Linked DNA regions of Mus musculus: region 2 is reported to be linked to region 1. The links are microRNA targets in miRTarBase. Many come from high-throughput screens and were not tested one by one. Region 1 holds a microRNA gene; the other region holds the end of a gene's coding sequence.

Region 1 (4,214 bases):
TGTACATAACCGAAAAAGTTCATTTCCCAGTCAGAGCCAGCACGAAATGCCACCTCTGTCACTTCATATTTCATTACGGAAGCTACCCGGGGTTCCTCGGAGCCATTTGTTATGCCTAATGCTCATAACTACCCAAAAGTATTTTTAACTTTTCCAGAGCTTTAAAAGTCAATTTCAATCTCAACACGTATTTGTCACTGCCAGAAATCCTTTGGGGGAGAGAACCAACTGAAACAGGTTTCAGCTCTTTCTCTTTGGGGGTGAGCTCAGGTGGGTGAGATCTTGCAGGATTCGAAGACAGGCCATATAGTCCAACCCCAACTGGAGATGGCCTCAGAGGATCTGATGTCACCTGGCTGTTGCCTGCCTCTGCCCCTGTAGCCCTCTCCCCGTTTGCAGGCATCTCAGAACAATAACACATGGTACATAATCAGAGACAGACTTTAATAGATGGAAGTTGGGTGAAAGGTTAAAATCGACAGCAGTGATTTTATTTTATTTTTTACTTTATTATATATCCCTGTCCTGCATCTACTTCTGGGAGGGCAGCGTGACACATCTAGAAGACCAGCAGATTGGATGGTCTAGGATCAGAAGTAGTAAGGGACACAGATAGGGTGGCTGCTGATGTTGGCTGGCTACATTGGGCACTAGCTTTCGGGCAGCCAGCATGTGGTACAGAATCCACATGTTTATCATTATGTGGTCAGTGGGGGGAGCCAATGCCTGTATCCAGAGTTCTCCTCTATCCCAAGCATCCCCAAGATGGCTGGGATGAGAGGAAGAAACAGGGGTGGGGGTGGTCAAAGGCCTGTCAGGGTTTATCAGCTTGAGAAGGAAGGAACACGGACAAGCGGAGGGTAGAGTCGTGAGTGGTGAACAGAAACAAGGACATTGCATACACAGACACCCATTCCTCTGCCGGGCTGTGGGGGACCAGACACCTGTGGTTGAGAAACACTAGCTGTTTTAGAAGGAGTATGGCTATCATTTGAGCAGGAAGCTGTCTCTGCAGCTCAGTTGCTTGCCTGAAAGCAGAGGGAGAGGCCCATGGTGCAGCCACAAGCCTGCTGCTGTAGCATCATGGAGGTGCCAAGGAAGGGCGCCATGATGGATTCGCTCCCCAAGGCCTGGCCCTGGCATGATGTGGGCAGTGCTAAAAGTGTTCCCTCGGCAAGGAGGGGTGGGACATTTCTCTATGTAGGAGGGGCTGCTTGTATCCATGAGATCTTGTATGATCCTGTTGGAGAAGAAAAGGCACTTGAACAATGCTTTCTCTCCTTTTTACTCCAGTCATTTCTAGTAAGAGATGGAAGCTGGGAATAGAGTATAAGAAACATCTTCAACTTGTCATCAATTCAAGTCAAAGTTTCTAAAAAAAAAAAAAAAAAAGTCTTTTCAAGGCAATGAGTGTCCAGACAAGGGAGAGCTAAATAGCACGGAGGTAAAGCCCAGCCAGTTGGGAGCTAGATAACCCTGACCAGCTAGTTAATATCCTGCCTCAATACCCTTATCTGTAAAATGGAATCTAAAGTATTATAAGGGTGATGATGGTAAGTATACATTCCAATGTTCAGAGAGACCAAGAGGACAGCTATCACTCATCAGTGGCTGGGGCCTTTCTCTGGGTCACAACCAGAGAGGAGATAGTTAAGTCACACAGCTTGGTGGGGACACAGAATCTGGCTCCTACTGCTAAGTATGGCTGTGTCCACCTTAGCTCCTGGAGTAAGGTACAGACTCCAGCCCAAAAGTGACAACAAAGTCTTCTAATTATATTGGGCCCAGGATTTATCAAGACACAAGTTAAAGAGATGGTGCCAAGATCCCTCTGTGGTCAGAGACAGCCGGTGTCTGCACAGACCTCTCCAGGCCTCTGAATGGCACCATATGAAGAGCCCCACGCTTCCATGTAAGCTATGGTCCAAGGCTATCAGGTTGGATATCGGGGTTCATCGGGGTCAGAAGGAGTCCCCTTTCAAGTTCAAAGTCTCAGACCCATGTCTGTTCTACCCATTCTCTTCCTACATTCATTTCAAATGAAATGCACACCAAGAGTGGTGAAAGTCAAGAGCGACTCACCCTCTGCATTAGCTACCACGTAGTGTCCCTGTACTGGGTCTCTCCCATGAAACCCTGGGGCATATATCTTAGGTATACTTGTCTTCTTAAAATGGGAAGTTGGAACCTAGCTGCTACTCTTGAGGATCCCTTGAGACCAGACTTGGAGCATAGTGACTACATCTCATTAAGTAATGTGGATACTCGAAGCACGGCCCCGTGGGTTTCTCTAACCTCCTGTCACCATGTACCTGACTCCTTCAGGATTCCCACCCCCTTCCCTCTGGGAGTTAAGACTGGGAGAAGTGGGTCTGGCAGGCGCGGTGATCCAGAGCAGAGAAGAGTCCAGCGGTGGTGGTGGTGGTGGTGGCGGCGGCGGTGGCAGCAGGCCATGCTGCAGGAGAGAGCGATGCTTTCCGCGGTGCTTGACAGAACCATGTTCCGTTTCCATCGTTCCACCACATGGTTAGATCAAGCACAAAGGAAAGCCCCGCGGCAACTGGTCAGAGTCAAGGTCAGGAAGCAGCGTCAGAGAGAGGACAGGAGCGCTCAGAGGAAGCAGCGTGGAGAAGCTGAAGCCAGAGCAGGCCCCCACTGAGCGTGATTAGTACCAGGAGTGCGGTCCACTGGATCCTGCCAAAGACAGGGGCCCCCACCTCCCAGTGCCCTGCCCCAGGGAGACTCAGCAGCAAAGAGGGACAAGGTGGGAAACCTTCATACACTCATATCCAAGAGCATTCTGGCAGCTGACACACCAATTACATACTAACCCAGGACTGAGCCTGTAAAATCTGTCCCATGCCACCCCACTATGTAATCTGATAAGACATGAAAATCAGCAAAACCTTTCCTCATGCTTTGTGACACAGGACTGCCCCCACAGCTGAAGAGCCCCATGGCAGTCTATTCCTCTTAAATAAAGACATGGTCTAGCACAGCATAATCTCATCTCCAGGCAAATCCTCCCTTCAACATCCCACAACTCGAGAGGCTCCTGGGGACCTTGCAGGCAGGGTCTCCTGGCCCCCTGGGCCGATAGCCAATCATTTCTGCTGCTCTGAGGTACAGTAGAGGGGGAGTTGTGGAGCGAAAAGCAACCACATCTCAGCTGGGCAAAGAACAGAGCCTCAGTGGGGCCATGGGTCTCAGAAGGCGATACCTATAGTCATTATGGTCTGAGAACACTGTCACAGGTAGAGCTAATGCATAGAGGGTGGTCGGAGGCTGCCTTCTGATAATGACTAAGAGAAGGAAGGAAAGGGCCAGAGAATCAATCGTACAGCCTCAGAGTAAGACATCTAATTTTAGGTTTCTTTTTGATTTCTAGATCCCTTCTCTGGCTGGGAATCATGAGAGAGAGAGAGAGTTAGGTAGACTCGGTCTATTTATCTTGTATGCCATAGAGTCAATCTTTACATCCCATCTTCCATAGGTGACATTTTTTCCTACTTGGCATCACGCTAGAGCTGTGCATATCTCAAAGAAATGGAGCCACAGCCACATGACTCTGATCATCTCTGTTGGACACAACCTCTGATGGGAGGGACAGGTCACTCTCCTCTACCATAGTTTTGGGGACTGTCTTCATTGACAAGGTGCTCTCATACTCAGCAGCTTAGCATTGTGTGGGCTGTGTGCATTAATGGTCCAGTTAGCGTTCACCCATGCCTGGCCCTGTTCACCTCTCTTTCCCTATCCCAATCAGATAGACTACAGCTACTAATGGCACTGTGGGCTCTGCTGCACCTGGAACTCCAGGGCTCTGTGAACACTCTAGTTCTAAGATGTCTCCTGTGAGGGCCTTGGTATGAGTAGGGTACATTTCACAAACTTAGAACATCCTTGGGTGGCTGGGAAGATGAGCCAGAAGGTAAAGGTGCTGCCAGGCCTAGTGACCTGGGCTCCATCCCCAAGCTCCATAGAGTGGGTTAACAAACTCCTGAAAGCTGTCCTCTGATCTCCATACTTCTGCTGTGTCATGCCACATATGTGCACATGCACTCACACAATACACATATGCATACACACACACACACACACACACACACACACACACACACACACAGAGAGAGAGAGAGAGAGAGACTTGCATGTGTACACAATAAAGTTCCTCTCTGGCCCTCTCTTTGCTTTTCTAAAATGACATGGAGAGT
Region 2 (4,214 bases), not on the chromosome of region 1:
AGCTTGTCTGTAGCTTCGTGTTTATAGCATTCGCATGGCCAGTTAAGTACATAATGAAACATACTTAGAAATCCTTAATGATGCTGGTCAGGTCAGTGACATTACTGCCCCATTTAATTATCACAGCTTAAATGTCACAATTTCATTGCTGGAAAACTTACCTAGGGCAGTATCTCGTTACATTTAAAGAAGCCACTGACGTGTCCCCAGATTCCGGGTTTCCTAAGTGGGATTTAATTATGTGCCCATCAAAGACGACGACGACGATGACTATTTTTCTTGACCATTATTTGATGGCTAACAGAAGCATCCATCTCTAACATTGCTCACTTGTGTAATCCTTTGGTGCAGTTTGGCTTGGCATGTCGGTTCTTATGCTTAACTTTAATTTATTGCAATTTAAACGTAACAGGAGACTTCAACTGTCTTATTTTAAATTGGATGCCACACTGTGCATCTGGCGTGTGCTTAGTAGGAAGAAATGACACGAGCTATCGATGGGAGGACTCTTAGTGCACTGATGGATAAGAAGGCTCATTTCAAATGGAACTGGCTTATTAACCAAAAACTTGGTTCGTATCCCATCACTGCATTAGAGAGGAAATAAGTAGGAACAGAGAGTAGATGCCCCATGGAACAGATCCTGGAGCTGTTAAAGGACAACCAGAGCGCCTGGGAACACAGATCAGTGCATAGTGCTTGCCCAGCATGTGTGAGGCCCTGGGTTACCCCTTCCCTAGTACTGCATGCAAAGGGAATGGCGGTGAGTCCCAGCACGTGGGAGGTAAGGGTCAGGACCAGGAATTCAGCATCACTCTTGGCTACACAGTGAGTACAATGCTAGCCTGGGCTACAGGACCCCTGTCTCGAAAACAAAAACCCCCAAACACCCCAGTAGAAAAAAAACCCGACCCAAACAACAACAAAACAGACAATTAGAAAACCTCATGACTTGCTCTAGATTTCTGTATTTAACAACTTTGGGAAACAAATCTTTGTGAAGAAGATAAGCTGAATAGGCCTGTCTTGTTAAAAAAAAAAAAATAAGGCTCAGATGATTTCAGTGGTCTTGGGAGAGAAGGATATCCCTTCTCTTTAACTCTTTCGGGAAGCAGACAAGGAAGAAACAGCCCCCAACTCATGTGAGCAGTAGGACTCGGATAAGAATTCCCAGCTTGGGAACTCTATCTTCATGTGCTGATGCCCCTTGCTGAAGGCAGCTCTTCTTAGGTGGGACACAGGAACCAGTGCATCTTTCACTGCACGTTTCTAGTTTTGTTTCTTTGGGAAGGAAGGACCAGACAGCCAGATGTTGTCTCCCATTTCCACAGATTTTCTTTCCAGTCAGGACACCCTTCACTCTTCGGGTCTGTCCAGCACATCGGAATCATCACACTGCAAGCCATTTCAATAATTTTTTTGGTATGGTCTGATTGTGCTAGCTGTCTTAAAAGTTTAAGACACTTCCCCAGTATTCTTCCCCTTCTTGTTGAGAAACAGGGCACTGAGTACTTCCATGTGTTCTGATTAGGGATGCCTGACTTCCACGTGTTCTGATTAGGATGCCTGACTTCCATGTGTCCTAATTAGGATGCCTGACTTCCATGAACCCATTTCAATGGTGTAGCTGACGCTGTGACCGTGCTATGCAAAATCCACTGTGTCCTTTCTATGGAAATGGAATTTTCATTTACTATATCAAATTGTCAATCTAGTTTTTATAATAGTTGACTCAGATCCTTTATAAGATGGCATTATCTGTCCTTTATTTAAAGTATGAATAGTACACAGCTATGTTGTGTATACACAGAAGAGACTTTGTAACCTAAAGAATATAGCAGAATAAGTTGTACATTCCTACTGACTGAAACAGTGGTTCAGTCATAAGAAGATGCTGATAAATACGACTTGACCAGTCTGTCAGCCCAAAGGAACGGACCTCAGTTCTCACTGCTTATATTTTGTTTTGCACAGACATTCATCAATCATGACTAATGTATGTGAGGGGCAAGTCTTCTGAATATACCTTTCATTTTGGACCAAACAATTTGTCATGGCAATAAATAATTATGCATTTAAGAAAACAGATTTTGTCTTTGACTTATATTTTTTAGAACTTTTAATTTTTTTATTTCATGTATGTGGATACACTGTTGCTGTCTGTAGACACACCAGAAAAAGACATTGAATCCCATTACAGATGGCTGTGAGCCATCATGTGGTTGGCTGGGAATTGAACTCAGGACCTCTGGAAGAGCAGTCAGCGCTCTTAATTGCTGAGCCATCTCTCCAGCCCAAGAGTTATATTTTTAATATATAGTAGGGATTTTGAACTCGCCAAACTAGGATGAAGTTTATTTAACAGCATGGGTTTTGTTTCCCTAATAAACAGGGAAGCGTTTTGATGCATACCTATTGCAAAGCTGTTGTAAGCCTTAGTTTTCTTGCTGATTTGTTCCTGACATGAATGGTTGTAATTTTTTTAAAGATTTATTTATCTTATATATGTGAGTACACTACCATTGTCTTCACACACACCAGAAGAGGGCATCAGAACCCATTACAGATGGTTGTGAGCCACCATGTGCTTGCTGAGAATTGAACTCAGGACCTCTAGAAGAGCAGTTAGGGCTCTTAACCTCTGAGCCGTCTCTCCAGCCCCCGAATGTTTGTGATTAAACGGACAAATAAATCTTTTATATTAGTACATGATAGAGAGCTAAAAGTCACAGCTGGGCGTGGTGGCGACGCCTTTAATCCCAGCACTCGGGAGGCAGAGGCAGGCGGATTTCTGAGTTCGAGGCCAGCCTGGTCTACAAAGTGAGTCCAGGACAGCCAGGGATACACAGAGAAACTCTGTCTCGAAAAACCAAAAAAAAAAAAAAAAAGAAAGAAAAAAATCAGATGTGAAGTTGGAATCATTTAAATGTATATTATGAAAATAAGCTCTTTATTCTTCAGTAGGGAAGACCCCAGGAGTCTTTAGATTAAAGTGAAATAATTGCTAACATTGTTGAAAGCTAATTAAATCAGTCAATCCTGGCCTGCTCTCGAGTGTCTGTTAACGTGTGTTGGTATGTGTACACTAAGACAGACATGCAACCATACAACAATTTTGAAAACAACTGAAATGTTTCTCTGGCTGAATTGTTTTACACAGGCCTCTCTTTGTTGACTAAGCACCTAGGAAAGAGAATGCAGTTGACCATGATTAGTTCAACTAACTTTCTATATTAAGTATCATGGAAATTCGATAATCCTAAAGCAAATGGTGTCTTCCAGCAGAGTTAGTGTGTAGCCTAGGGGCCTTGGCAAGCAGGTCCATCAACCACGGATACACCTGCCTGCCTACTCAGATGGCAGAATTCATCTGTTCACCGAGCATAAGACATCTGATACCCAGCCCTTTACAAAAAGGTTCGCTGACTGCTTTTTATATACTTGTTAGACAAAAAGCCTCAAAGATGAGCTTGTTGAAAACAAAAAAAATGACAGGTATCTTAAAGGACACAAAATATATACAGAAAATAAAGAAATGTTTTGTTCCTCTAGAATATAATTTGAAAGATAAAAGTAGTGTTTTTACAACAAACGTTTAAAATTGAACTGTTTTACAAGAAACATTTAAATAACATATACTTGTTTTCACTACTGATCACTGCACAAAGCTGACGAAATACAGAGAGCATTTCTGTGATTAAACAAGAAGTCTAACATTAGGAATTTTCTTTAGGCTTCCACTTCCACGGCTGCTGAGACTACGCAGACTTGCGCGATGTCATCATATTCGTATGTTCTCTTTAGAAATGTGTCAGTGAGTCTTAAGCCAGAGACACTCTAGAGAGAGAGAGAGAGAGAGAGAGAGAGAGAGAGAGAGAGAGAGAGAAAATATGAGATGCACCTCAGTGTTCACTCATTGATAATTACCATGGAAAATACAGCTATCAGAAATGATGACTTAGCCCACCCGGTTGAAATCACTGAACAGCACGTACTTGGAGCCCCTGTACTGAGGACAGGAGCGTCAGGGCCAGGCAGAGCGAGGAGCTGGGGTGCAGTTTCCCCAGCTGTCGTCCTGAGATCCCACACCAGTGGATGGAATTGGTGTTGCACATCTCCAGCACGAGGTCCATCATCCTCTCACTGCTGAAACAATCAGAAACCAGGATAAATCTGTTTATTTCCTAAGCAGATACCATCACATTCCTAAAATG

Evidence for each region. Region 1 holds the annotated microRNA mmu-miR-218-5p (UUGUGCUUGAUCUAACCAUGU, at 2,522-2,542, opposite strand). A microRNA usually pairs through its seed, bases 2 to 8, with sites in the 3' UTR of a target mRNA and lowers its output. Matches are read on the target gene's strand: a 7mer-m8 pairs with bases 2 to 8, a 7mer-A1 pairs with bases 2 to 7 and ends in A, and an 8mer does both.
Region 2: miRTarBase lists Trappc13 as a target of mmu-miR-218-5p. Seed matches in the 3' UTR shown: 7mer-m8 at 2,584-2,590.

Annotation. Positions count from the first base shown.
Region 1 is chr11:35,615,168-35,619,381 of GRCm38, reverse strand. It overlaps Mir218-2 (microRNA 218-2), which reads right to left and starts at 2,566; the gene lies at 2,457-2,566. The region is part of intron 14 of Slit3 (slit guidance ligand 3); the gene reads right to left.
Region 2 is chr13:104,140,409-104,144,622 of GRCm38, forward strand. It overlaps Trappc13 (trafficking protein particle complex 13), which reads right to left. Exons shown (of 13, transcript NM_001093759.1): 12 at 3,996-4,143; 13 at 1,745-3,837. The coding sequence ends at 3,730. Sgtb (small glutamine-rich tetratricopeptide repeat (TPR)-containing, beta) reads left to right here. Exons shown (of 11, transcript NM_144838.2): 11 at 1-1,453. Among named protein-coding and RNA genes, the nearest start is that of Sgtb, 33 kb to the left of the region's middle.